6 linked regions of the Macaca mulatta genome follow. The protein of the gene in region 3 interacts with the protein of the main gene of each other region in a pairwise test. Links are inferred from orthologs where the notes say so. Each region holds a gene or a part of one and is shown on either strand. Other genes may lie near its edges.

Region 1 (4,161 bases), on a different chromosome or scaffold from region 3:
CCTTATTTCAAGGATTCTCGCCCTTCCTTTTGCCCAAGAATCTTCTAGGGGGTTTACTAAAAAAGTGGCTGTCCTTTCCCAGACCTCAATTCAGGAGTCAGCTTCAAATAAGTGGAAACTAGACATTCCTAAAGATTCTCACCACCACATAAAACTAAAACAAGCTCTTTACTGCTTAGGATTACAGGGCAATTTCCAGCAATTACAGTCATTCAGGGGTTCTAGGACCAGCCTGAACTGCACGAGACCCTTTACTACTTCTCACTCTCCGTCTCCCCACTGGCTTTTGACATTTTCCCTGCTCAAGTGCCAAGCAGTATTTGAAAGGCTGAGGGAAAGATCGGGACACTAACTTCTCATGGACAGCTCTAATTAAAAAAGAAAATGAAAAACTTGTAGAGTAAGAAATCCATTTGCCTTTAAAAACTAAAATTTATGATTAGCTGAGCCTCCTCCCATTACCAAAAGTTGGCATTCCCTCCACTCTACCCAGACGTTCCCTGTTTATAACACTGTTTCATCACGTCATATTGCCATCGTGACTTCTTCCTCCACTAGAGGACGACAGCTGTTTTGTAGTCAGCGCCCACCACCATCCCTATTACATAGTAGGTGCTTTAAATATGTTCGCTGGCTTTTATTTTTGCCCTGTCTCCCAATGGATAATTAATATTGTATTGGATCTGCTCTCAATCCTGGCATAGGTAAAACGTTGTTTTCTAGAACTCAGTTACCGGGTTATAGATGATATTCTGTAGGTTGTTTAATGACAACATCATCCTTTTCCAGCTTCTTGTTGGAGTCTCTTCTGTGTATGACCTGAGATTTTAGGCCAGTTTCATTTAAAGGTTACCTGGATTGAAACTGAGGCACTGGCCCTGTGTAAAGTAAAAACAGAGGAAAAGAAAAGTAAGCATGCAGCATTTTTCTTCATATCCTATTTTAAAATTTAAATTATACATTATGTTACTGATATTTACCAAATAATAGAATGTTATTACAATCAAAGATCTGCCTCCCATTCTTACCAGTGTGCTCATATACTAAACAATTTTGGATTGTGAGTGTAGGAAATACTGACTTAGAAAATACATCAGTAGAAAATTTCTAACATGGAATTTATTATTAAAAATACTAAAATAGGCCAGGCATGGTGGCTCACGCCTGTAATCCCAGCACTTTGGGAGGCCAAGGCGGGTGGATCACCTGAGGTCAGGAGTTCGAGACCAGCCTGAACAATATGGTGAAATCCCATCTCTACTAAAAATACAAAAATTAGCCAGATGTGGTGGCATGCACCTGCAGTCCCAGCTACTCAGGAGGCTGAGACAGGAGAATTGCTTAAACCTGGGAGGTGGAGGTTGAAGTGAGTCAAGATCGTGCCACTGCACTCCAGCCTGGGCAACAGAACGAGGCTCCATCTCAAAAAAACAAACTAATTAATTAATGGCCATTACTAATCAAACAGTCCTGTACAATTATCAGAGGTATTCATTTCACTTTTCATTTCCATAAAAGGACAATAATTACAGTATTCACATCATTGGTTTGTTCTGAGGATTGAGTTAATAAAATAGTGAAAGAGTAAGTGCTATGTTAGCTATTATTATTGTGAATAAAAAGAATTGCTCTTCTTCCTCCAATTTAAACAAATCAAGGTGTGGAAATCCAATAATTTTAATACTATTAAGATACAATTTTCTCTGCTGCTTTAAAAAAAAAAATCACAGGGCAGGGGAGTGTTGGAAAGCATTAGCCACATTTTTTAAGATAAAAGCACCCATGGACACTACATTTAATAACTCTAGGAAAAACTCGATGACTTTAAGCAGAACTAAAGGGGAAACGAAACTAGAGCTTCCTGTATTTTACTTCCAGCAATTGTCATTATACCGCACACCAACAATACACACCGATCAAATCTATTACTTTTTCTTTATTAAGAAAAAAACTGTACCCCTCTTGGTTTACCACCTAAATATAACCCCAGTCTATGTCATTAACTTAATTCGTTAGTCAAAACCTCAAAACTCTGGCTCCGTGACTCAATACAGGAAGCAAGAACAAGAGCAAAAAGAATGGATGCCGAGTTGCCATACACATGTGTGATAACCAGCGAGTGACCCAATTTAAATCATCGGCTTGCATTAAATCACGCAACCCCTGAAGTATCCCCAGGGACAGGTCCCGCCAGCATGACCACTTCGTATGCATCACAAGAAGCCATCACTTAAGTTTCACGTACGGTCAAAGGAAGTCACATGACTTGCCCTTTGTAATGTTTAATACTGCAGTCAAATGACTCGGCATCCTAAAGCGCGTGTTAGAGGGAGGGAAAGCAATGTCACTACAAATTCCGGGACGGAAGCTTCCCCAGATTCCTCCACTTGAAGGTGGCTCTAGGCCTCAGGTTAGGAGGGAACAGGGTAGAAAGCAGCACAGGTGCGGTGGATTTGCAGCGAGGAGACACCCCAGGACAAACAGCCTGACTCCAGCCAGGGATGTACAAGAAAGGCCGCGACTCCTGATAACCCCTTATGCCCCGGAGCAACCTCGCCTGCAGAGGCAGCGTCCCCGCCACCCAGCCCCGGCTCTGCCGCGGTGAGGACCTGCGGGTTGGGGTGGACTGGACACTGTCCCACCCATCAAATTGTGATTTAGGAGGCGTGACATCCGAATGCCATCCTCCACTGGCGAGGCCCTCAGAGCAGCCACTCCCCTAGCGACTGTCCCAGTGGCCGGGGGTCGCGCTACTCACCCAAGGACTGGTGTTTCAGGCGCTCCACGGAGCAAGTTGTTTGTCAGCCGCTAGGTGCCGTCCGGTTCCCGGCTGGGGCGTCCGTGGGCGGCTACGGGAAGCGACAGGAGTCAGTCCTCGTTCACTTCCTGGCTCTCCCGCTGTGGTCTCCCCACCCTACCCGCGCTGCGCCGTCTGTGTATGGAGCGTCCCTGGCGGCTCTGCTGGATTTTGGACAGGGACCCGCCACTGATCGCCACCCAGCTCGGCCTCCTGCACAGCCTCTGGGGCCTTGGACCGCGACTGGCTTGCTGTGGGAGAGCACAGAAGATAAGGACAAAGAATGTGTCCTGGGTGGATCTGGCTGCCTTTGCCCCGAAGGCGGAGTGGGTGGAAGGTGGTAGGAAAATGGGAAGGAAAGAAGAGAAAGGCTTTCTCTTCCGCAGCAAGTGGGCCAACGTCCACTTGGCTGTTCCAGGCCTCCAGGTCTAGGAGGGCGCTCAGGGCTGGGACTTTCCGGGACCCGGGGTGATCACCGCACAGGCCCCGCCTGCCTGGACCCAGCGCTGGCCTTCCCGGGGCGCCCAGGTCCACGGGGTCAATGCCAGGGTTTTCTCAGCTTCCTCGTCTGCCTCGGAACGGAGTCCAGACAGTGCCAGAAGAGACCTGAAGGCACTGCTTTTTGAAGGTACACACCTCTGGATGTAGGCGAAACTGGGGGAAGGGTTCAGTACCTTGGACTGTGCCCAGCTCAAAGCGCCCCATCCGTTAGTGATAACATGGACTCGCAGCCACTCCGCGTCACTCGCTAGTTACCCTGCGCGTGGGTGTTTTCTCCAAATTGGACACTTAGGGAACAGTTTAAGCAGTATGGAGCACAATTCTGTGCGTATTAGATGCTCCGTAAATACCCAACTTCTCAGGGCTCTACACTGATAGTTTGACCTATTGGCTGTAAACACACCAGCCAGAAATATAAATAAAGTTTGAAACAAAGTCATGTCAGCCACTTGGAATGGCTTGCTGCTTATTGTTTGTTTTGTGTTAGGGACCTCAAAGTTCTCATCTTCTCTACTTAACTTTTATCCACATTTGTTTGGAAAGATATATTTTAGTGTCACCAACATGGGCTTTCTCCTCCTTGGCTTTTGTTTTCATTATTTTTTATTTTAATCGAGGAATTCATTACAAGTCCCATAACTGGGAACTCATGTTCTGATTCACTGTTGCTTTTCTCTCCTCCTTACCCATTTTCCAAGTTAGATACACTTCTCAAGATCCAATTTGAATAAGTGAATTTACCCTTGACATACACTGCCTTGGATTTATAGTTATCTTCTGGTGTGTGTCGTGTGTTTTATCTGTCCAACTCGACTGTAGTTTGAGAATGAACTTGTCTTATACATTCCCCAGTGCATAGTGTA
Region 2 (3,002 bases), on a different chromosome or scaffold from region 3:
TCTGGGGGTTGATGGCATGGGCGTGAATCGGGTTTTAGGTTGAATGGTGAGACGCCGCAACACTGAATATGAGGTCTGGGGAGAGATGTGGGTGGCTTAGCAGACCTAGCAAGGATCTCTGGCCAGACTGTTCTGCCCCTGCCCAGCCCCCAGTTGTTGACACAAACCACAGTTGGAGGGCCTGGGGAGGGTACACGCTGAGCCCGTCCAAAGGGTGATGGACATGGCACCACATGGCCAGGCAAGGGCTGGGCCACAGGGGCAGGGGAGGGCATCAGGTGGGAGTCACGGCTGTCCTGTGAAGAAGAAAAAGGTGGAAGAGTGATCCCTGCCCCCTTTGTCTTCCTATATCTTGTTCTCACTACAGCAGCCAGCGTGATTCTTTTAAGACCTAAGTCAAGCCAGGCATGGTGGCTCAGGCCTGTAATCCCAGCACTTTGGGAGGCCAAGGAGAACAGAGCATCTGAAGTCGGGAGTTCGAGACCAGCCTGACCAACATGGAGAAACCCTGTCTCTACTAAAACTACAAAATTAGTCAGGCGTGGTGGTGCATGCCTGTAATCCCAGCTACTCAGGAGGCTGAGGCAGGAGAATCACTTGAACCTGGGAAGCGGTGGTTGTGATGAGTGGCGATCATGCCACTGCACTCCAGCCTGGGCAACAAGAGTGAAACTCCGTCTCAAAAAAAAAAAAAAAGGCCGGGCGTGGTGGCTCAAGCCTGTAATCCCAGCACTTTGGGAGGCCGAGACGGGCGGATCACGAGGTCAGGAGTTCGAGACCATCCTGGCTAACACGGTGAAACCCCGTCTCTACTAAAAAATACAAAAAACTAGCCGGGCGAGGTGGCGGGCGCCTGTAGTCCCGGCTACTCGGGAGGCTGAGGCAGGAGAATGGCGTAAAAACCCGGGAGGCAGAGCTTGCAGTGAGCTGAGATCCGGCCACTGCACTCCAGCCTGGGCGACACAGCGAGACTCCGTCTCAAAAAAAAAAAAAAAAAAAAAAAAGACCTAAGTCAAATCATGTCACTTTCTTGATCAACCCTTCTCCCCATGGCTTCCCACTAGTGTACAATTCCTTACCCAATCTGATCGTGTTATCACTAAAACCATATCTCCTACCGCTCTCCTTACTCTGCTTCAATCTCACTGGCCTCTCCTTTTTGCCGATCCTCAAATATGCCAGGCACATTCCCTCCCCAGGGCCTTTGCCTTTTCAGTTCTCTTGGCCTGGAACATTCCTTCCCCCAGATATCAACATATCTCACTCCTCCTCCAACCCCTGGTCTTCACTTAAACATCATCTTCTCAATAAGAGTTCCCTGACCAATCTATTTTAAATTGCAACACCAACTCCCCTGCTCCCAATTCCCCTTTAGTGCCCTATTATTTTTATTATTTTTTTATAGAGAACTTACAGTCATCTGAGACACTATTTTATATATGTGTTTATTTCTTGTCTCCCCCTTCTAGAATATGAACTTGTTTATTGCTGTATGTCCAGAGCCTAGAACACGGCCTGGCACTCAGTAGGCTGGTGCTACTCAGTAAATATTTGTGAAGCGAAGGGATGAATCCTTTTGGCTGACAAGTGGCAGATCTGTCTCACCCTTAGCACTGATCTGACGGTGATACAAATATGATCTCTCACCCCAGGCCCTAGACATTTGATAAAGAGAGGTCAGTTTCACATTGGAGAGGGACTGGGTGCATCTGGGGTAAACCTACCCAATAACATCCTGAGGCCCAAGACTGCCTGGCTCTACCTACAATTCTCAGTGTTGGCTGCTGCTGCGAAATTCTCCCAAGCATCTCCTGCACCTCCCACCCACCATCCCAGGAGAGTTGCATCTCACCCTGGTATGTGTCATTTCTCGGTTTTCTCTTAATGGTACTCGCTGGGCCAGACCAAGAGAGGCCACACTTCCTTCATCTGAGCGAGTGACAACCTCATGTTCTCCTTTAGGGAGAGAGAAAGCTAGGAAGAAACGGGACATTTGTTGTAGACTCTAGAACACCCACCAAAGTTTGGCACAGGGTTCTACAACTTCTGAAGAGGGTATATTAGTTTAATAGCCCCCATTGCACTATTAGGGACAGGAACCCATCCAGCAGCCCCTCAACACCCAACACTATCTCAGTAAACACTTACTAATCTGAACGTCTGAGTAGGCTGGGTATGTGGTGATGGCACTTAGGGGCTGGGGATAAACAGTGAGTGGAAGATAAATCTTGCAGGAAGTGGCAGAGAGAGGGCCGAAATGAAGACCATCTCCTTTGACACAAGTGCAACTGTGCCAACCTCTAGCCTATCTAGAAAGTCTCTTCTTCTTCTCCTTCTGACCTAGCCTCCCAGCCTCCCACTTTCTCATGCTCCCTCCCAGCCTGCTGAGTTTTATCTGATCTTGTTCCCTGCTTCAGGCAGCCCAACTGCCCCTGTGCTCTCCCCACAGCCAGACACACTCACCAGGCTGGACTGGGGTCTCCAGGAGCAATCCTGAGGCCTGGCTCACTGAAGTCCTGATGACAATAAGGACAGTAGCCAGCAGTCACTGAGTACCAAGTATGAGCTGGACATGTGCTAAGTGCTTTACAAACATCATCTCATTTCATTCTCATGACAATTTCTAATGATGATACAAATGTTATTCTCACTTGACAAAGAAACCAAAGCTCAGAGAGGTGAAGGCAAGCTTGCACAACTAGTAAGTGGTAAGAGTTAGGATATAAACCCAAATCCCATTTATTGCCACAGTCTATACTGTAGCCACTAAACAAAAGAGATAGCACATTTCTGTCCTGCCTGTCCCCCCATGACTTGAAGAAACTGATGTCACACTGAGGCCTGCCTGTGAAGGCCTGAACCCTATCCCAAGGGCTCATCCTGGGTAATCACAGGTTTCTTGCTTCCCCTTCAGAGTTGGTGGGGAGTCCTAAAGCTACTGGAAGGCCCCAACTCTGGGGGACTCCTGTATCAGACACTGGTTCATTCTTTTCCAGATGACC
Region 3 (3,500 bases):
TTCTCAGGTGTCTTAAAGCTCTTTACAGGTAAGTATTGAATATAAACATCTCAGAAGACAAAATAAAATTAGTAACTAAGCGTGAGATAGTTTATAGCTTGAAGATTATTCACCTTAATAGAAACTCAGGCTTTCTGAAACTTTCTGGGAATTTTATCATTCTAAAAATCAAGTGGAAGGAAATTGTTTTCTATGACATTTGCATTACATGAACAATTTTCAATCTTAAATCCATACAAATACTTTTCCTACCTAGGTCTGTTACTTGTCGATCAAATGGGCAACGGATTGCTCTTCCATGAAGAGGTAGGCGAGTGAGACAGTCATGACAGACTGTATGGCCACAAAGCAAAAGGCGAGGAACTTTGTCTCCTTGCAAAGAAAAGACGTCTTCACAAACTCCACACTCTAGCACCTAATATTTGAAAACGAAGGATGTACTCTTTAAACCATTTTAAAAGCATACATATTTTAGGTATATAAGAAAATTCACCTAATATATTGAATCAACATTGTTACTTTATTCCTCCATGAAAAAGAACTATGTAAGTTGTAAAATCTTAAATCACTTTTAAGTCATTCCATCTGACAGACCCTGCCAAAATTATATCGTAACGAAATATCTTTGAAATACTAATAGTAGTGTTAGGGGCAAAGATGCTGTAAACTAACATCTTCATTATCTTTTGAAAATTATGATTTCACTCATTACATCTGAATCTGTACAAACAATATGTAATTCTACTGAAGGCGGGTTCTTAAGCAATTTCTCTGCAACTACCTAACCCATCATTAATTTCAACACAAATAAACTATCATTAATTTCAACAAAAATAATCTAAAATACGTGCTAACAATTACCCCTGTTAATGATAAAGAACTTGTTAAGAAAAGACTACAACTAACTTTCATGTTTCTGGTATCTAATGTACATTAAATAATACAAAGTCAAAAAAGCAGTCACCTTAAATTTCAATTCCTGTGCTCTATCAATAAATATAGCTCTGAATCAGAAATTAGTTTGTCTATCTAATTCTAGTTACAGACACATGACTTGCACAAGGCTACACAGTCAGTCAAAAGAAAGGCTATTTATCAGCATATTCTGATTCTCAAGTCCATATGTTTATGTTTTATAAATAGTCAACAAATTGTATTTATAGCAATAAAGCATTTTCAGCACTTATTTCTAAGTATATTTGTAGTGTTTCATTAATTTTTTTAAAATACCCACTGTACTATTCAATCATACCTCAAACTCCTGTCATTCAAGACCCACTACAATCTGGTCCCTGTTCTACTGCTTCACTGCCACACTCTTCTGACCCTGTGCTCCAACTATATCCAACAGCTTATAGTTCTCAGAACATGAGAAACTGTTTCATGTTTCTTCATGCTAATACTGAGGAAAGGACTATACTTGTCCTTTGGGCCCCCAAGTACTCTGTATAAGTGTCTACCATAACACCCAAAATGCTTTAATACCTTGGTTTTCTAGTCTGTCTTTCCCTGTTGGACCAAAAAACCCTCAGGAACAGGGTATTTTAAATACCAAGTTCCTAGTGCTTACATAAAGTCTAGTAAAATAATTTAAAAACAATTAAGCTCAACATCATCAAACACACAACACAAGGTAAAAAACAGAAAACCCAAGGCAGAAATCAGACTAAATCTACTACGATTTTAAACCTAACTCTGTAATTAACTTGGACTTTGGGCTTGAGATACAAATATCTTTCACCATGAAGTGATAATTCATAATTGCTTTGTATATTATTATGGTTCAAAAGAAATTTAAATTTAGTCTTTCAATGTAAATAAGGGTTTGGGAAGAGAAAAATAAATAAAAATAAGAAACAAAAAAAATTGTTCACAGAAAAGACGATGAAAATTCTTTACATGAAAAGATGTTCAATCTAACTCATAACAAGAAAAATGCAAATTAAGGCTAGGCACGGTGGCTCATGCCTGTAATTCCAACACTTTGGGAGGCCGAGGCAAGTGGATCATCTGAGGTCAGGAGTTCGAGACCAGCCTGGACAACACGGTGAAATTCCTTCTGTAGTAAAAATACAAAAAAATTAGCCAGGCATAGTGGTGGGCGCCTGTAATCCCAGTTTACTCAGGAGGCTGAGGCAGGATAATCGATTGAGCCTGGGAGGCGGAGGCTGCACTGAGCCAAGATCACAGAGTGAGACTCGGTCTCAAAAAAATAAAGAAACAAAAAAATGCAAATCAAAGCTACATCAAATACTTTTTTTTTCAGATTAGATCAAAAATGTTGGTAACACTTTGTTAGTGAAGGTGTGGGAAAGCAGACACTGTCATACATTACTAATTGCTATGAAATGTTTATTGAGCAATACAGCTTTTATGAAGGGCAACCTGTCAATACTTACCAAGTTTAAGTAACTCAGTAATTCTAGTTGCAGGAATTTATCCTACGAGCATATTAGACATGTGTGACAAAATCTGTATGTTAGTCCTTAAAGCATCATTTGCATTAGCAAAAAATTGGAAACAAAGTAAATACACATCAATATCAGCTTGGAAAATAAATTATGGCACATTCATAATACTATAAAACTATATAGGATAGTGAGAAAGATGACGTTTTTCATGTACACACAGAATGATTTCATATGATTAAAACAAAAATGATAAATAGAATATACTCATTTTTGCATAAAGGTGGGGAAAGAGCAAATTTTTATATTGTTGTATAAACGTACTGTCTTCCTGGAAGGATACATAGGACACCAGTAACACTGGAACATCGGTTCCCCATGAGAAAGAGAAACAGCTAGGGAACAGCTACCCATGTATAATTCTATCTATTATTCATATATACACATACTTCAATTCATCCTACATTTTTTAAAAAGGGGAAAGTTTCACGTTATCAAATCCATTTAGGTCAGGCACCGTGGCTCACACCTGTAATCACAGCACTTTGGCACACCAAGGCAAGAGGACTGCTAGAGGTCAGGAGTTCAAGACCAGCCTGGGCAACACAGTGAGACCCTGTCTCTACAAAAAAATAAAAAACTGAGGTGGGAGGATCACTTGAGCCCAGGAGGTTGAGGTTGCTATGAGCCATGATTGTGCCATTGCACTCCCACCTGGGTGACAGAATGAGAACCTGCCTCAAAAAAAAAAAAATTCAATTAAATATAGAAAAAATATTCACAGGCCAGGCGCGGTGGCTTATGCCTGTAATCCCAGCACTTTGGGAGGCCGAGGTGGGTGGATCACGAGGTCAGGATATCGAGACCATCCTGGCTAACACAGTGAAACCCCATCTCTACTAAAAATACAAAAAATTAGCCGGGCACGGTGGTGGGCGCCTATAGTCCCAGCTGCTTGGGAGGCTGAGGCAGGAGAATGGCATGAACCTGGGAGGTGGAGCTTGCAGTGAGCCGAGATTGTGCCACTGCACTCCAGCCTAGGCGACAGAGCAAGACTCCGACTCAAAAACAAAAAAAATCACAATAGAATTT
Region 4 (4,054 bases), about 70 Mb from region 3:
TTAGATAATTTAAATTCCCCAAATAACACCACTGTAAATGGATTTTGAGAAAATTCCGGAGAAACGCGCCATTTTGGATTGACTTTTTAAAATCTCCGGAAGAATAATGTTGCATGTAGATATTTTAAATTCCAGAGACCTACACTTAGTATATTAATTATTTCAAAATCGAAAGATAAAGTTAAAATTGTTAATTCATCCTCATAGATTTGGTTCAAAAAATCAATCTATGATTATATATCTCTCTAGGTTTTAAAAATAAAACCAACCAAAGACCGCACTTAAAACTTTTGAAAACAAAAGTATAGTTCAGCGTTGATTGTGTTTTAACCAAGCAAACAGAACCTCTCAGAAAAATCACTTAGGGATGCAAAAGAGAAACAAACAGATTAAGAAAGTGTAAAGAAACACTCAGCTGTGTATTAAGAAATGAACAGAAGAAACGAGCAGAAGAGGCGCCCATGCCGGGGAGCTCTGAGCCCCTCGGGGACCCAGGCGGCTGTGCTGGGCAGCGGATTCGCTACCCTACTGCCCGCGCCGGCCACCCCCGGGCCCAGTTCGCTGCTGGAAAAAAGCTCCAGCTCGTACAAAAAGGCAGCGCGGAGGGAGACGCGCCGGAGCCGGGGCGGGGGCCAGGGCCGGGCAGCTCCGGGCTTCGGCTGCACACGTGGGCCGGATCCCTCGATCGGGGTTCGGGCTGGCCTTGCTGGGAGTCCGGCCGCGCCTCTTGGCCCGCTCGCCCTCACCGTCTTCTGTGTCTTCCTTCTACTTGATGACCCCCTCTCCCCGTTTACCCTTCCCGCCCGCCCCTTCTCTTTGGCCTCTCTCTTTCATTCTGTCGCCTACTGTCACGGTGTTAGCCTCTCTCTCTGTCTCTCTGAGGGCGTTCTCTCGCCCGTCACCCCCATTCCTTTCTCGGTCTGCTCCTCTCCCTTCGTCCGAGTCGCTTCTTAGTGCCCAGTTGCGCAAATCCAATTTTCCCCCGTTCTATTTACTCCTGATCAAGAGGGGCTGTCAGTCCAACCCTCTAGCTGTAGGCTCATGCATCTGCCAGTCTGTTGGCGCGTGGGGACCGCGTGGAAGTGCCTTCGCGTATGCGTTAAGTTTCCGCGTTCACCATCAGGTCGAGAACGGGAAAAAGAAAGCTCCTGACGCTTCTGGGGCGGAGAGGGAGCTTGGTTGCACGGCGCGGGCGTCAGGCCCTGCTCCCAGCTCCCCGTGCCCCGCGCCCAAGTAGGCTCCGTGCGCGCCGCGAGGGGAACGGCGCTTACCTGGCAGCTCGGTGTCAGACGACTCGCTGGCGGAGTTCTCGAGCTGCTCGCGGTGGTCGGCGGGCCGGGCCAGGTGGAAGGCGGGCCCCATGTCATGGGGTGGCGGCGGCGGCGGCCGGAGCCCCTCCGGTAGCCGCTCCAGGCTCATGCCCCCCTTGAAGGCGTCCATGGAGGTGGGGACCGCGGCGGGCGCTCCAGGGGCCGGGGCTGGGCGCGCCCCGCCGCCCTGGCTGCGACCTGCGGGGACAAGAGCGCAGCGCCTAAGCAGCTGCCCTCCAGGGCTGCCGGCGCCCGCAGCGACGCCGTACCCGCCCCATGGACCGCCCGGGGCTGCGGGGCCGGGCGGGCAGAGGCGGCGGCAGCTTCTCGCGACCGGGCGCCTGGCTTAGCGCTCTGTGCTGCGCTTCTGCCGCTCGGGCCTCAGCAGCCGGGCCGGCCCCGGCTCCGGCTCCGACTCGCGATCCGGGGCCGGTTTCTAAGGCTCCGGACGGCGCCGGCAGAGTCTGTCTTAAAGCGACAGCGCGCACAGCCAGGTTCCAGCAGTCCCTGCGCCAGGGGTGCTGGGTGGGGTGGGCCTGGGTGGGAGGGGGCTGGGGAGGGAGCGAGCGAGCGAGGGAGCGCGGGCGGAATCCAGCCCCAAGCCGCCCGCGCCGCCGCGCCCTCTCTGCCGCCCTCCCTCCCTCCCTGCCTCGCCCGCGCCCTCCCCCTCCGCAGCCACCTTCCCGCCGCCTCCCCGCCCCCCGCGGCCTCGCCGCGCCTCTCCCTCCTTCCCCGGTGACACACCGAGTTCTCCCTCGGCCTCACAAAAGAAACGCATCTGGGCTGCAAGTCCCGGGCGGCTCGTGCCCACCTCAGGCCCCAAATGACTTGTTTCGCCTAGAATCAACTCCCGTCTCGGCCGCCTCGAAGTCCCCAGCGCTGGCGAGAACAGCCCAGGATGAGTGAATGTTTGCCGAGCAGGATCGCACGGAGCGGGCGCCTTCGAGCCAGCGCCGGGGCGGGGGCAGAGCCCGGGGCCCGTTCCGGCAGCTCCCAGCGGTGTCCTCGTCGAGGGGCCGCCTGCCCCTCCTTCTCCAGCCTCTTCTCCCGGGAACTCAGCCCGGCTGAGTGACAGCAGCCTGCGCTCTAATGGGCCCCCGGATGCTGCCTCCTAATTAGCTTGGACCTTCTCCCCTAAGGCTGCTTCTCAGGCCTCCCTCTCTGCACCGCAGTCAATTTTCCGGGATTGGGATAGAAATGATGGCTTCTAATCAGACGAAACGTTTCTGCTGGCTCTAGGCGTTTGGAGAATGCAGAGGGAAGACCCCAGAATCCCAGCCAGGCCCCACAGCCTCTTCTACCTCTCCCCTTGTTTTACACCTTACACTTTGGCCAAATGGGCCAGGCCTGGCCTTGGCAGGCATGGGGTTGGCCTTGGCAGCCTTTGCCCTCCTTCAGGGTAGCTTTGTCCCAGCCTGGGGCCTGCATCCTGGCTTCCCAGGGCTTCAGGCACAGGCCTGGTAGGCCAGGTGACTGCTGTCTCCCAACCCTGGGCCAGCAGCCCAGGAAGCCCTCAGTCTTCCAGCTTCTCTCCCACACAGTGGTAGCTGAGTTGCAGCTCCAATGGGCCTTCACTGGGCACAGGCAAAGACATTACTCTCCCACTCCCAAGAGTGATTCCCTCCTCAAGTCCTTGCACGTAGGTGAAGTTTGTCGAAGGATTTTGCTCAACAATTGTTACCTGGCCCCAAGACCTCAGCGTCTTGAGCAAACAGGCCACAGCTGGGGCGGCAAGGCGCCGCCCTGACCTGCTTCTCTGGCCATAGGCGGACCCCAGACTGCCCTCTGCCCCTCACCTGTGACCAGCTCCACCAGACACAGCAACCCAAGGGAGCAGCGCCAGGGAGATTGTCGGTCTGGGAAAGAAGCAGGGAGGTGTCCAGTGTCCTCACCCCAAAACCCAGTGCCTCCTCAACTCCTGGGTGGGTGGCACTGACTGCGCAGGTGTCGGCGTCTGGGGCACTCTGCAGGTTCTGCCTTTGAGTCCTCGCCTTACCCCTTCGCATCACAGGGAGACACCCACGGTCAGCTGAGCTCCTTGTGAGGGCGGCTGGGGCCAGGGGCAGGCACACAGGCTGGAACCAGACCTGCCTTCCATTCCCTCCATGTTAGTCCAAAGCACCCCTGCCCCCATCCCCCACTCTGGGCCATGGAGAGACAGCACAGCTCCTTAGGGCCTGGCCCTTTCTCACTGTGCGTCTGTGACCATAGAATGCAGGGTCTGAGGCCAGAGGGATGACACTTCCCAGGAGTTTGGGTTGGGGAGGCTCAGTGACTTCTGCCTTCTTCCAAGCTGAGATCTCCCTCCATGAAATGAGTCTTGGTCATGGGCAGAGGAACATGGGGAAGCACAGTTGCCCAGCATTTGCCCTCAGCCCCACCTTTACCACGTTTCTTGGAGTCTCCAGTAGAAGATCCCTCCTTTCAAGGAGATATTCAGGTGCTGCAGCATGCTGGGGAGTGTCCCTTCACACACCATTCTCCTTTTAGCTGTCTTATCCCATAGAACAGCCTGAGTGCAGACAGCATGGGGGCACGCGCGCACACGCACATCCTATACATCCATGCGGAGATGCTGTGCACACACATGTACTCACTGCACTATGGAAGCGCTGAGTTTAGGCATATGTGTGCTACTTGGCATGAACGCCGGCTGGCATGGGATAGGAGGTGTGTTCTAACCCCGCCACATGTCAGGCCAAGGTGGGAAGCACCGTGCGTCTCTGGGCAGAGACTTAGAAATG
Region 5 (3,983 bases), on a different chromosome or scaffold from region 3:
AGCAGCTGGGACTACAGGCGCCCACCACCATGCCCGGCTAATTTTTTATTTTTTGTATTTTTAGTAGAGACAGGGTTTCACCGTGTTAGCCAGGATGGTCTCGTTCTCCTGACCTCGTGATCCACCTGCCTCGGCCTCTCAAAGTGCTGGGATTACAGGCGTGAGCCACCGCGCCTGGCCAGACCTGTGTTTTTAACGTTAAACTTGAAGAGTTGATGACTTTATTTTGATCAGAGGTTAAAGAGAATTCCACCTGTAACCCTGACACGCTGCACTTGCTGCTTGATAGACTGAAGTGTTACAGCTGGTGGTTCCAAACAACCTCCAACAGTGGGAGAACGCAGCGTGGACTAAGGCACCTGATGGAAGAGAGCCATGAAAACACTTCTGTGATAGTGCTTCAGTGCAGTTCAACAAATACTAAAATCGAGCTTCCAGTATGTGCCAAGTATTATGCTAGATGCTGGGAATACCAGAAAAAAGAACCTGCCCCCTCTATACCCTTAAGGATTTATGCTTCTTAAATTTTTTTTTTTTTTTAAGACAGAGTCTCGTGTCGCCCAGGCTGGAGTGCCGCGGCGCCATCTTGGCTCACTGCAACCTCGGCCTTCTATATTCAAGCAATTCTCCTGCCTCAGTCTCCTGAGTAGCTGGGATTACAGGCACATGCTAATTATAGGCACGCCTGGCTAATTTTTGTATTTTTAGTAGAGACGGGGTTTCACCTTGTTGGTCAGGCTGGGCTCAAACTCCTGATCTTGTGATCCACCCGCCGCGGCCTCCCAAAGTGTTGGGATTACAGGCGTGAGCCACCGCACCCGGCCTATGCTTCTTAAATACAGGAAAGAAAAATATTTAGTTGTGATGATACAAATTAAATTATAGGGAAATACTGCAATGGCACAGTGGTTGCCTCACAAATCCTGGAGAAACTATCAAACTAGGCCATCAATCCCTATGGGGAAATCTGAAAACAGGTTTGTTAAAACGTATGAGAAATGTGTCCTTTGGACATAAAGATGATGCCACCAAACACTGCACTGCAACCACTAAGCAGCTTGGACTCTATAAGCGTAATAAAGGTGAATTACTTTGGTTAAAGTGATTGCATGTTAATTTAAGAAATTATCTTCCTCCAAAAGAGGTGCTCGTTTTATTTTCCTTTTCTGAGTTACTCAAGTCTACACAGTTTCCTTCTGCCATGTTCAGTGGTTAGCATGAACAAGCATCTGCCATGTTCAGTGGTTAGCATGAACAAGCATCTGCCATGTTCAGTGGTTAGCATGAACAAGCATCAGCATCATTCAATATTTAACTAAATGAGATGTTAATTTTCACTGCAAGATTAGAGCTGAAAACATTTACATAGAATTGCAGAAACCAAAGATGCCGGGAAAAATTCCTGAGGATTATTCACAGTGTTCAGTATAGCGGTTAAGAATGTTTGCTCTCGAGTCTTAAGGGGAACCCTAGCACTCCCCAACATTATCACCTCTATTGTGTTACTGGGAGATAAATGAGCAACTCTGTTATGGGCCTATCAGTGTTAGGCACATCAAAAGTGTTCCCCAATTGCTAGCTCCTGCTATTAGTATAAAAAAAAGTGGGGCCCCACTGGCCCCAAAGTGTTGGCTGCTCTATGATTGTTCTCTGGAGACACCATCGGCAGGCCTATTTCTAAGTGAAAGCTGGCATGCAAACTGAAGAAAAGTGGCAGAGGTAGAAGCGCTCTTCTGTCATTTCAACTGGCATCTGGTGAACTATGCGTAACAGCTTAATTCCCAACTGAAAAAAAACTGTTAACTAGGATGGTAAGGAAGGGATGGGGGTTTGAGGAGTGACTACAACTCCTCCTTTTGAGTGTGTGGGTTCAAAAAACCACTCCCTCCCCCACTTAGCTTTAGGCAAGCCACTCAACCGTTTCAACCTCCGCTTTCCTCATCTGGAAAATGGGATAACAAAAGTTACTCTCAGTGTAATTGGATTGTTTGTACCTCAATGGATAAATGCTGGAAGGGATGGACGCCCCGTTCTCCATCACGTGCTTATTTCACACTGCGTGCCTGTATCCAAACATCTCACGTACCCCATAAATAGATACACCTACTATGTACCCTCAAAATTAATCAATTTTTTAAAAGTTACTGTCTCCTAGAGTTACGGCGCAGAGCGCACAGCTCCCGCTACATCGCAAAACCACTACCACCTGCAGCAGCCGGCCCTCCGTGCTGGCCAAGAAAGGCGCTGGGCTACACAGCCTGCGAGGGGGCGGCTTCTCGGGCTCTGCCACTTACTACGGGACACACTGGCTCACCCGGTCTGCCTCGGAGGAATGCAGTGAGGATTAAACTAGCTAATCCACGGAAAGCGCTTAAAACGGTGCCTGGCGCGTCCCTGGCCCCCATGCGCCTCGGGTCTGATATTCAACTGCGCATTAGCAGGGCCGTGGGCCCCGCGCCGAGGCTTCCTGCGGGCGGGATCCACGGGCACGGCCGGCCCCGCCGCCAGGTGAGCCCGAGCCCTTCCCGGCACCTGCATCCTCAGCCGCCAGAAAAAGCAACTTTTTAACAGTTTCGCAGCGGGGGCCTCCCGGGCCAGGCCGCCGCCGCCGCCGCCCGCCCGCCCGCGGGGCGCCCCCGCCCTCACCTTGCTGGAGGTCCTGGTGGTCGTACCACGGCTCGTCCTCCTTCATTTCAAACTCCTCCACCAGGTTTTCCGCCAGCATCTCGGCTGGGTCCTCTAGGGGCAACGGTCCCCGCCGCCGCCGTCCCGCCTCAGCCGCTGCCCCGGGCTCTTCCCCGGCCCCTCCGCCCTCAGCCAGAGCCGCCCTCGGGCGGGACGCGCCGCCGCCCAGGCTCCGCCGCGCCGCCTCAGCCCCGTTCCCGCCGGCGACCGCCGCCGACCGGCCGGCTGCTTCGACTCGCCTAGCGCCTCCCAACGGCCCCAACGGCCGGGCGTTACGGCGCGAACGTAGGGAGCCAGGTTCTCACGCTGCCGCCGGTCTTCACGCCGCCGCCGGGCCCAACGTGGCACTTTGGCAGAACCCTCCCCGGCCGGGGATGCGATTCAAACCCCCGGCGGCTTCTCAACCAATCGCGAGCGGGCCGCTGGCCGAGCGACAGGGACTTCGTCCAATAGCGTCTCTCCAAAGACCCGCGGCTCGCCCGGTTTCGAGGCCAAGCAGCCAATGACGGGCCCCGAATAAACAAAGAAGGCGGGGAAACAGTGAAGGGGTGCGGCCGAAAGCCCGCCCCCTGATCTGCGCTGTGCGGCTCCTAGGAGCGCGTACTAGGTTCCGGGCTGTGGAGCTGGCGGAGGCGAGTCCTGCCGCTTTGGTGGGTGTCCCGAGGCCAGCGCGTCCGTGGACAGGCAGCGCAGGCCGGAGGGCCTAGGACTTCGGCCTCTGAGAGGCGGGCGGTTGTCGAGAGGCGTCCTTCGTGCCGGCGGGAAGCGCGAGGGTGCCGGAAGCCGGAGGTCCGCCGCCCGGCTGCCGCTTCTCGCATGTTGACTCTGAGATTTGCTCCGGGTCCGGCAAGGAGACTCGGAGTCGATCGGGAGTTTAGGGCTGAGAAAACGCCCACTGAGCGGTAGCTCTTGTCTCGTTGACATCTGAGCTCTGGGAATTACGCTCCCTAAAACGGTGGGCGCCAGACCCCGTTGAGAATCTGGGGCAGTGAGGGATGCCCGAAGCTGTCCACTTGGAGGGGGAAAATTGTAAGCAGGGTTGCAACGATTTTTAAAAGGTACCTCTAGACCACAAGTTAAGCATCTGGGGACGTGGCATTGCACCTGGAGGGGTCAGGCTGCAGCCCCAGCACTTAGTAGCCAGCAAGGCAGAGCACGCTGTCCTCCACCGACATAACCCAGCAAATACTGCTCATGAGTAAAGCTTTTAGCACCATCTTACAGACAAAGCACGGAAACTCTTAAGCAGGATGACAGACCTGAAGGTCAATGTTCTCAACCTTGACGTAAAGGTAAAA
Region 6 (3,500 bases), on a different chromosome or scaffold from region 3:
CACCCTGAGCAGAGCAGCCAGAGCCCTGTGCAGGCTGTGCCCAGCAGTGGAGATTCTCAGCCTGATGACCCTCCAGACAGGGGGACGGGGTTGTCCTCCTCACAGAGGGCCAGCCAAGACCACCTGTCAGAACAAGGGGCTGAAGACAGCAGGCCTGAGACAGATGGGGTTCCAGGTGATCGTGGCCAAAAGGAACACCTACCAAGCAGTGATTCTGAAGGGGAGAAGCCAGACAGAGGAGCCCTCAAGGAGGGAGGGGCCCAAAGGACAGCAGGGGCTGGCCTGCCTGGAGGGCCCCAGGAGGAGGGAGACAGTATCCCCTGTACCCCAGCATCAGCTCCTACCTTGGGCCCTGCTCTGGGACTGGGCCCTGCCTCTTGGTGCCTGGAACCCGGGTCTGTGGCCCAGGGCTCTCCTGACTCCCAGCAGACCCCCAGCAGGATGGGCAGGGAAGGGGAAGGGACTCATAGCAGCCTGGGATGCTCCTCCCTCGGGATGATTGTCATTGCAGACCTGAGCACAGACCCTGCTGAGCTGGAAGAGAGGGCTCTGGAGGTGGCTGGGCCCGATGGGCAGGCCAGCGCCATGTCACCTGCCTCTCCCAAGAGGAAGGCCGCTGATGGAGGCTACAGGAGGGCCCTGCCAGGCTGCACCCCACTCACTGGGGAAACCGCAGGAGAAATGGGGGAGGCAGGGCAGGATGACAAGCCCCCTGGCGATGTCCCAGTGGGCCCGACAGCCTCCCTGGCTCTGGCACCCGGGAGTGGAGAGTCCATGATGGGCGCTGGAGATTCCAACCATGCAGCCACGGACACGGGTCCATGTGTCGATCAAAAGCAGGAGCCAGGCCTTACTCCAGAGGCAGCCGAGTCAGGTGGCCAGGACCTCGAACAAGACCTTGAGGGGCTCCGTGTGTCCCCGCAAGCTTCTGTTCTGCCAGAACACAGAGAAGCAGCAGACAGCCCTCTCCAGGAGCCTGGGGCCCAGCAGGGCATAGACACCACCTCAGACCTGGCAGGGCAGCAAGACCACCTGCCTCATTCTGCAGACCAGGCCGCCTGGGCAGACTCTTCAGCTGTGGAACTCGACTTCCTGCTGGACAGCCAGATACAGGATGCCCTGGACGCTTCTGACTTCGAAGCCCCGCCTGAGCAGGTAAGAGCTGCCCCGAGTGACAGACATACCTGCCCAGGGCAGGCACCTAACCTCCACAAGCCCTCTCCTCACGTGGCACAGCGGTGGAGGGGGAGCTGGGGCTCAGGGCGTACCATTTACACAGCCAACGACTCTAGGAGTCTGAGTTGCAGCTCTATTGGATGTGGAGTCGGTGGTTTTCCAGAAAGTATAGACCTGCCTTTCGGTGGTTGTCTACATATCCAGGGATGGTGACACACAGCTGCTTTCTCAGCCGGGCCTCCCACATTGAACTGGAGTCCCCAGGAGTGCCAGCCCCTGGCAGCTTCTGATTCAGTGCCTGACCCTGGCTGTGGGGTCCCGGGGCATGTATTGAGGGCGGTGGACACAGTGGGGTGATGGAGAGAAGCTGGGCCTGGGGAGGGGGCTTCACTCCCAAGCTGCAAAAGAGCCTTTGCCCATCTCCTTAGGGTCCTCTGGGGGTCCTGATATGATTCTTTCCCAAACATACATAAGTCATTTTGTTTTTCTGCCAGAACTTGTAAGGGCTTTGCCTCCTTCAGGGATCTGCCTGCCCCACTGGCTGCCCAGATGTGGCCTCCTCTGGCTCCAGAGCTGGTGCCAGCTGTTGGCATTCGTTCTCCTGTCTGGGCAGGTGGCAGCCTTGCTTCAGCCCTGCCCCCCAGGGGAAGAGTGACCTCCCCAGCTGTTGGCACACCTGAGCCTGGGCTGAGGGCGTCACAGTCACACCCTGGGAGGCAGGCGGTTCTCTGTCCACACACTGGGTGTAGCAGCGAAGACTCTGGAAGAGTTCATGCACCTGTTGGAGGTGAGGCAGGCGGGAGGGGAGGAAGCCAGGCTGGCACCCAGGTCATGCCCCAGCTGCCGCATCCTGGAACACAGAGCCAAATTTGCCTTTCAAATGTCAGCCTCTGTTTCTTTGCTGTCCCTGTGTCGAGATGTAAAAAAAAAAAAAAAAAAATTCATGGCCAGGCACAGTGGCTCCCACCTATAATCCCAGCACTGGGAGACCGAGGCAGGAGGATCACCCGACGTCAGGAGTTCAGGACCAGCGTGGCCAACGTGGTGAAGCCCCATCTCTACCAAAGTACAAAAATTAGCTGGGCGTTGTGGCATGTGCCTCTAATCCCAGCTACTCTGGAGGCTGAGGCAGAAGAATCGCTTGAACCCGGGAGTCGGAGGTTGCAGTGAGCTGAGATGACACCACTGCACTCTAGCCTGGGTGACAGAGCAAGACTCTGTCTCAAAAAAGAAAAAATTGGCCGGGCGCGGTGGCTCAAGCCTGTAATCCCAGCACTTTGGGAGGCCGAGACAGGCAGATCACGAGGTCAGGAGATCAAGACCATCCTGGCTAACATGGTGAAACCCCGTCTCTACTAAAAAATACAAAAAAACTAGCCGGGCGAGGTAGCGGGCTAAAATAAAATACAAAAAAACTGTAGTCCCAGCTACTCGGGAGGCTGAGGCAGGAGAATGGCGTAAACCCGGGAGGCGGAGCTTGCAGTGAGCTGAGATCCGGCCACCGCACTCCAGCCTGGGCGACAGAGCGAGACTCCGTCTCAAAAAAAAAAAAAAAAAAAAGAAAAGAAAATTAGCCAGGCATGGGGATGCATGGCTGCAATCCCAGCTACTTGGGAGGCTGAGGCAGGAGAATCACTTGAGCCCGGGAGGTTGAGGTTGCAGTGAGCCGAGATTACGCTACTGCACTCCAGCGTGGGTGCCAGAGACCCTGTCTCAAAAAAAAAAAAAAATTGGTGAGTCACAGTGCAGTTCAGTGGTAGAGGCTGAACACGAGCGTGTGGGAAAGGCAGGAGTTCTGTTGCTGGGCGCAGCTGAAATTTTATGAGAGCCTCATGCCTTGCAAAATGCAAATCCCTCACTTAAGAGCCGCCTCCATTGCCTCCAGTCTGTGTTCTCGTGGGTGGTGGCTTGGAGAGAAGGCTGGGAAATGGTTAAGGTGTTTGGGGCCAGGTGCAGCTAAGTGGCATCCAGCAGGTGAAGCCCCTAACCCTCCTAAATGGGCTGCCAAACTGCGAGCTTGGAAAAAGACCCTGAAATCCAGACTCGGGGGGATCCAGACGGACAGCTGGCTGGTCAGACCTGACCAGCACCGGCAGCCTTTCCCCTGCCAGGGGAGGAGGCACCGCCCTGACAGCACTGCCAAGGCCTAGGCATGTTTGGTTTTGACACGAGGCGTTCCCTAGCAAGTCAAGGCGACCCAGGCAAGGAACACATTCCCGTGGGAAGGTTCCGGGTGGCTCCTGGCAGGAAGGCCAAGGCCCATGTCTCCCGGCATGGGCAGGGGCACGGGGAATAGCAAAGATGGATTGAGAGGGCCGTCTCAG

The links.
Region 1: the proteins of TRIM23 (region 3) and LGALS8 interact in binary tests that used the Homo sapiens proteins (3 or more experiments, as listed by UniProt). The link is inferred for Macaca mulatta from reciprocal best matches to the Homo sapiens genes TRIM23 and LGALS8.
Region 2: the proteins of TRIM23 (region 3) and TROAP interact in binary tests that used the Homo sapiens proteins (3 or more experiments, as listed by UniProt). The two-hybrid records come from large-scale screens. The link is inferred for Macaca mulatta from reciprocal best matches to the Homo sapiens genes TRIM23 and TROAP.
Region 4: the proteins of TRIM23 (region 3) and PITX1 interact in binary tests that used the Homo sapiens proteins (3 or more experiments, as listed by UniProt). The link is inferred for Macaca mulatta from reciprocal best matches to the Homo sapiens genes TRIM23 and PITX1.
Region 5: the proteins of TRIM23 (region 3) and CDR2 interact in binary tests that used the Homo sapiens proteins (3 or more experiments, as listed by UniProt). The two-hybrid records come from large-scale screens. The link is inferred for Macaca mulatta from reciprocal best matches to the Homo sapiens genes TRIM23 and CDR2.
Region 6: the proteins of TRIM23 (region 3) and BRME1 interact in binary tests that used the Homo sapiens proteins (3 or more experiments, as listed by UniProt). The two-hybrid records come from large-scale screens. The link is inferred for Macaca mulatta from reciprocal best matches to the Homo sapiens genes TRIM23 and BRME1.

Annotation. Positions count from the first base shown.
Region 1 is NC_133406.1:12,556,884-12,561,044, forward strand, and holds the start of LGALS8 (galectin-8), read right to left. Parts: upstream 2,801-4,161; 5' UTR 2,759-2,800; intron 879-2,758; 5' UTR 780-878; coding exon 735-779; intron 1-734.
Region 2 is NC_133416.1:56,495,530-56,498,531, reverse strand, and holds part of TROAP (tastin), read right to left. Parts: intron 2,517-3,002; coding exon 2,464-2,516; intron 1,975-2,463; coding exon 1,853-1,974; intron 297-1,852; coding exon 168-296; intron 76-167; coding exon 1-75. UniProt on the Homo sapiens protein: Could be involved with bystin and trophinin in a cell adhesion molecule complex that mediates an initial attachment of the blastocyst to uterine epithelial cells at the time of the embryo implantation.
Region 3 is NC_133411.1:73,707,784-73,711,283, forward strand, and holds part of TRIM23 (E3 ubiquitin-protein ligase TRIM23), read right to left. Parts: intron 416-3,500; coding exon 253-415; intron 1-252.
Region 4 is NC_133411.1:143,947,457-143,951,510, forward strand, and holds the start of PITX1 (pituitary homeobox 1), read right to left. Parts: upstream 2,801-4,054; 5' UTR 2,089-2,800; coding exon 2,055-2,088; intron 1,509-2,054; coding exon 1,272-1,508; intron 1-1,271. UniProt on the Homo sapiens protein: Sequence-specific transcription factor that binds gene promoters and activates their transcription. May play a role in the development of anterior structures, and in particular, the brain and facies and in specifying the identity or structure of hindlimb.
Region 5 is NC_133425.1:21,841,763-21,845,745, forward strand, and holds the start of CDR2 (cerebellar degeneration-related protein 2), read right to left. Parts: upstream 2,801-3,983; 5' UTR 2,726-2,800; coding exon 2,647-2,725; intron 1-2,646.
Region 6 is NC_133424.1:14,475,526-14,479,025, reverse strand, and holds part of BRME1 (break repair meiotic recombinase recruitment factor 1), read left to right. Parts: coding exon 1-1,155; intron 1,156-3,500. UniProt on the Homo sapiens protein: Meiotic recombination factor component of recombination bridges involved in meiotic double-strand break repair.